2 linked regions of the Bombyx mori genome follow. The protein of the gene in region 2 purifies or fractionates together with the protein of the main gene of each other region. This does not show direct contact. Links are inferred from orthologs where the notes say so. Each region holds a gene or a part of one and is shown on either strand. Other genes may lie near its edges.

What was found. Proteins that work in one complex are often made in the same cells at the same time.
Region 1: the proteins of E3 ubiquitin-protein ligase MARCHF5 (region 2) and dynamin-1-like protein purify together in Homo sapiens (affinity purification with western blotting, with the first as the bait; 3 studies listed by BioGRID). This does not show direct contact. The link is inferred for Bombyx mori from reciprocal best matches to the Homo sapiens genes MARCHF5 and DNM1L.

Annotation. Positions count from the first base shown.
Region 1 is NC_085119.1:10,597,228-10,600,750, reverse strand, and holds part of dynamin-1-like protein, read left to right. Parts: intron 1-13; coding exon 14-159; intron 160-735; coding exon 736-879; intron 880-2,117; coding exon 2,118-2,291; intron 2,292-3,408; coding exon 3,409-3,480; intron 3,481-3,523. UniProt on the Homo sapiens protein: Functions in mitochondrial and peroxisomal division.
Region 2 is NC_085132.1:5,309,534-5,312,343, forward strand, and holds part of E3 ubiquitin-protein ligase MARCHF5, read right to left. Parts: intron 1,883-2,810; coding exon 1,692-1,882; intron 691-1,691; coding exon 330-690; 3' UTR 1-329. UniProt on the Homo sapiens protein: Mitochondrial E3 ubiquitin-protein ligase that plays a crucial role in the control of mitochondrial morphology by acting as a positive regulator of mitochondrial fission and as an important regulator of immune response.

The sequences.
Region 1 (3,523 bases), on a different chromosome or scaffold from region 2:
TATTCGTCGCCAGGTTTGACCCGCATGGACATTTTGACCGCGATCCGCAACGCTACAGGCCCTAGACCGGCTTTATTCGTCCCTGAGGTATCTTTTGAGCTTCTGGTCAAGCGACAGATTAGAAGACTGGAAGACCCTTCGTTACGTTGTGTTGAACTGGTATGCTTATTGTTAATAATCTTAAAAATATTTACAAAATATTAAAATTAAAAATATATTTCAAACATATTAAATAATAATTATTATTAGGCAAATTAATATACATTAGTAATATATCGCTTACTTATTTGAAAATTTAATTAAATTTCATTCTTAAATGAACGACTCATAGTAGTCATTACACAGCTATACCATGATCATACACTCATTATTTTATGTTGCTGTTGTTGACCACTAGAACGTTATTTAATTATTCTGCTGTCTGTACACTACTATATAGGTTTACTTTTAGTGCTATATATTAAGCAGTAGATAGAGCATTTGAAATTTTATACCTACCGTGAACATTTCCAGAACTGCCCTTCGTATATGTTATAGGACTACACCCTGTATTTACATGATTATTATGAATAAATTTCATAGCCATAGTATATTTTTACCACACCCTGTATTTACTTACATGACTATTATGCTTAAATTTCATTAATGGTATTTATTAGCCATAGTATATTTTTTTACTAATGCCTTTTCACCCAATTGTAAACAAGCATTATATTCGTTTATTTCAACACACAGGTACACGAAGAAATGCAGAGGATCGTTCAGCACTGTGGCACAGAAGTCCAGCAGGAAATGCTACGTTTCCCACGCCTGCACCAGCGCATCGTCGACGTCGTCACGCAGCTGCTGAGGACTAGATTGCCTCCGACCAATTCTATGGTAAGTCGATTTGTTATACAGCATTCATAATACACCATTGTATCGAAAGCGCCAACGAAAATGATAGACAATCCTGATACGACCTATATCCTGCTATATATCCTTTTTATTTATTTATTTTTTATTGCTTTGGTGGGTGGACGAGCTCACAGCCCACCTGGTGTTAAGTGGTTACTGAAGCCCATAGACATCTACAACGTAAATGCGCCAGCCACCTTCAGATATAAGTTCTAAAGTCTCAAGTATAGTTACAACGGCTGCCCCACCCTTCAAACCGAAACGCATTACTGCTTCACGGCAGAAATAGGCAGAGTGGTGGTACCTACAAGAAGTCCTACCACCAATAATTCTGTCGTCATTCAGTATCAATGCTGTGGGTAGATGTTATGCGCCTCACGGGCAATCGCCACTTATCTCGGTTTGTGGTGAGCTTGATACGCTCATGTAAACAACCGCCAACCGCCGACTTTACTTTGTCGATCGATCGCATGGGCAACCTTCCACGCGGTCTGGTGCCTCTTACTTTGCCCTGAACGACAAAGCGCTCTATGGAGTCATTTCCTCGCCGGGAGATATGTCCAAAAAATGATAGTATGCGACAAGCTGTAATTTTATCTGATGGTTCGTAGAACATACAGTCAGAGACCATCGCTTTACAACCCGTATAGCTTTATCTGTTTCCAGTTGTAAAAGCTGACGCATAGTATCTTGTTTAACTAACTTTACTAATTTAATTTATAGTATTTATAGTAACTAGTTTAATCCTTGCTTGCGAAAATTTTCATTTATCAAAATTATTTTTAATAATGTACAAGTGTAAATGTTGTGCTGCTTGCCAGTAATAGTCATAGTATTATCGCGCTTTCTTTTATTTTATTTTATTTTCTTTGTTGTTTCGTTGTAGGCTGCCCACAGGTTGTTATTACTGTGTGTGCTTATGTATGTTTTGTATTCGGGTTCACCATTTAATTTGATTTTTGTTTCGTTTTTTTATACTAGTTTATACCATGTTTTAAGTCTGTACACACGTACCTAGCCTTCATTCCCGCAAAGAACCAAAGGGAAACGGGGGTGACTGAAAATCAGCGCTGTTCGATTTATCGACCTTGAACAGCATTAGCTGAGCCATCTCCTTTTGCCTTTTTCTCTTTTTTTTCTTCTCTTTTATTAGTATTTTATTTTGTTTAGAATGTGAAAGGCAATAAATGATTTTATGATTATTATTATTATTGTTGTAGGTGGAGAACCTGGTGGCTATCGAGCTTGCGTACATAAACACGAAGCACCCCGACTTCCACCGCGAGGCGGCGCTGGTGTCCGGCCTGCTGAAGAGCGGCGACGACGACCACAGTCCCGTCTATAGACACAAGACTCCCAGGCCTTCTCCCTCACCGGTATCCAACTTGATCAAAGTAAAACCGCTTATTATGAACACGTCTGATGTTTCACTAATTATACTAAGCCTACACGTGTGTTGTGACTGTGTGTGCGTATAATTAGAAGGAAAAAAAGGTTTTATATTAACTTTACCAAGCAAAGCATGCAATTGGAACTTCACTTAAAATATTACTAAACACTGTTTGCATCTTTAAAACAAAAACTGAGTACTGATACACTCAAAAACTATCGAGAGTCGTTATATTTTTATTCAGAATCATTTATATATGCCGTATACGCATATGTCGTGTTTGTTTGTTTTAAAAAAAAACTTATCATCAAATCATTGAAAATTTTACATAAACATGCATCTACCCAGGTAAGTTTTATTCACAATTGTTTGTATTAACAACGACTAACGGTAATTTTAGTGTCGGTTCGAATCTTAAATTACATTTTTTTAAACTTTTGCGGCTATCCCCATTAAACGCACTATTATTAAGACTTTCCTTTACCCGACAAGATCCAATTACGGTTCGACTCGCTGGATTCGAGTGGTAACATCAAAAATGGACTAAAGAAAAGCTGAATATATTTGTTTGTTAACAACAGTTTTTTTTTATGACCTGGTGACAGAGACCTTTAGGTCATATCTTATTTGGAAAATTTTCATTACTTTGGGTTAACAACACCTTATCTGCAGTCTTCAATCTACCCTACAGCAACTAAAAATCGTAGTATGACAAGCCGTTAAGTAATAATGTGTATTATCTAAACCAGAACTGTCCAGAAAACGACTTGTTATCATGCGGCCCGCGACGCATGTTTTAATCAGAAAATAGTTTTGAATATAAATAGTATGGACAATAGAATTCTTTGTCAAATCATATAATCATTATTTGGTATTATTTATCTGTATTCTTGTAACATACCATTCCCATGACATCATTTAAAAGTGAAGTTATCTTTTACATAATTTTTTTTTTAATATTTTAGTCTGGAAAGTATTTTGTTTTTGAAAATATTTTTTTCTGCGGCCCCTTCCAGCTTTTTTAGTAAATTTAATTAGCCCGCAAAGGTATGTAATTTGGACGGCCCTCATCTAAACGATATGTTAAGGTTATATAAATTACTATCTCGAAATTTTTGTAGCTGTTTCTCCGACAAATGGGTGAAAGAGGGTCCGCCCTAGTATTCTTGGCAAGCGTATTGGACGCGTACAAGGTAATTGTGGCGTGGTTATATTCGGGTCGCCATTAACTCGCCT
Region 2 (2,810 bases):
AATAAAAATTATCGCATTTTATAATTACCAAATTAAAGACAACGACCTAACATTTTTAATATATACAAACAATTACGTACAAATCTTAAGCTGTAAGTCGTATTTTTATACACACATATATTCAGAACATATTAATTACATAACGATTTCAAATAATAAAATTTGGGAATTTTGAATTTTTTTTTTCTATACACCCCAAATTTATATTTCATCAAACAATACTTGATAACGATTAATAAAATCGATTTTTTACATAATAATATATTCTGAAAACAAAAAAAACGAACAAAAATATTATAATTGAATTCCATTACGCGACTAGTTTAGTTTCAAACGACTTGTTCGCTGTCGTCCCTACTGGAAACGGCATCGGTCGCTAGGGTTGTCGAATTCCTGTATAATTTCAAATTAGATTCCGTGTAATCCAATATCTTTCTACTGGAATGCCTCACGTACAGCATTTGTTTGTGATATATTTTCAAGGCCCCTTTCAACGTGATATAAGTCAGGCCTCCGAGCATTGTTCTGTGGAGGTTATTCTGTATCGAACGGAAGAATATCTTTCCTATGATCGTCGATATCGTTGGTAGCAACAGAGCCGAACAGAATATCCTTGTCGGGGATAGATGGCTCGCGTTTGGGTTCTGTGGCGTCGTCTGACCGGCCACTATAGCGCGATCATTGTCTACGCTGCAATGAGAGAAATTTGTATTTTCAACTCTGTTATTTATATTTTAAACTAATTTTCCTGGTGGTAGGACCTCTAATCCGCGCGGGTGGGTACCACCACCCTGCCTATTTCTGCCGTGAAGCAGTAATGCGTTTCGGTTTGAAGGGTGAGGCAGCCGTTGTAACTATACTTGAGACCTTAGAACTTATATCTCAAGGTGGGTGGCGCATTTACGTTGTGAATGTCTATGGGCTCCAGTAACCACTTAACACCAGGTGGGCTGTGAGCTCGTCCACCCATCTAAGCAAAAAAAAAACGTCGAATGACGGTTAACTAATTTGGCAAATTCTAATGCAGCAGAATCAGGAAAGTTTTCTCGAAACACACTATTTTTTTCTGGCTGATAGGCTTGAGAGGCTATTTTAGCTTCACGCCAGCGTGTAGGTGAGCTCTCGGCGCTCAAACCGGAGGTTGCTAACACAACCCTAGCAAAAGCAGTGCTTCGCAGAATCTACCACCGGATCGGAAACGCGACCCACTGAGAAGATCCGGTGAGAAACCCAGTAGGCTGTGTCTATGGGTTAATACGAAACACACCCTAATTGATGAGTAACACCAAACTAAGGTTTTTTAAGAACGGATTACCGGTGGCCCGGAGGCCTTTCCAGTTTCACCAAGACAGGTCGGTTAGCAAGGGCTCAGCTAGTTGGGATGGGATTATCTAACAGCCGCCCTAGCGCCTCCAAAGGAGACCTAACAACTCAAGGGCAGCTGCTTCATGAATGCTCCAAACTAAGGTACGCTTAGCTAAGCTATGCTTATTAGTCGTGTTATATTGTATGTTGCACCGTAATCGGACCCCTTAGAACAATAATAAAGATGAACTATTTAGTCTTATAGAAAAAAAAGCTTCTCTGGTCACAATCACAAGTAACCAACAACGCAGTCAACAGGTGCCGAAGATAAACCCTTCCCATACGACATCTACACCTATGAGCACACCGATAGTTCATATACTCACTTTCCGAAAGGCAGAATATAAGCCAAGACAGGTATCTTAGCGCAGTACTTCCTGAGGAACAGGAGAACGGAATCCTCCCAGTTATACATCTTCGCACTGATGAGGGTCACTGGGATCGTGGGCAGTAGCACGAGTAAAACCAAGGGGTCCGCCGACTCCATCATCTCGAGACCTTCGCGATGGCCTACTACCTGGAATGGGTAACTTTTAAAGTTAGATAAACTGTGTGTCATGTGTTACACCGGCTCCACACGTTGGCCCCAACGTTGCTACCAACGTTGAGGGGTTAAACTGGTGAAGTGTCCAGACGTTGGCTGTTATACTAGTTCCTTTCCGTCAGAGCCAACGTGAAATTGTGCGATACCGAAATTGAAATTGCTCTAACCGCTTTTACAGTACCGAGTGCGTATAATTTATATTTGTTATTGAAAAACAAGAAAAACCCACGTCAAAAGAGATGGTGGATGACATCGCGACATGCAAACTCGACGCGCGTTGCAACAGGACTAAGCAAAGCGCCAACATGTCACACATGTGGACGGAGCGCGAACGTTGGCACAGATTCCTTTGATAAAACCGACACTTGACAACCAACTACCAATGATCGCACCAACGTTGGGGCCAATGCTATTTTCTAAATCCACACGTTGGGCGAGTGGCGTTGGGGCCTATGTTGAGGCCAACGTGTGGAGTCGGCGTTAGTGGTATATACTAGGTGTTAGGAGACCGCTTCCGAAAACGAAGACAGACGATAGTAAACAAAGTAAATTTTGGGGAGCGTGGTATCAGCGCCGCGCCCGGGCGTTCGTTGATCCGAGCATCAGTTGTTTTTGATTTTGTGTTTCATTGCTGGTTTTTTTTTAAAGTAAAGTAAGGTTTTTATGAAACTATCGTTTCATTTAGCTGTACTAACATGGTGGAACGTAAATAATGCTAATAAAAAATGTTTTAAAAATATGTTTTTTTTTTTAAATTAGGATCGACTTTTTTTTGTCCCTTCATCAAAATTGTCATTAGTAGTATCGTCTGTCTTCGTTTTCGGAAGCGGTCTCCTAACACGCAGTATATTTTTAAAATATGGTAAATTTTTCGATTGCTGATCCTATATTATAATTTTCC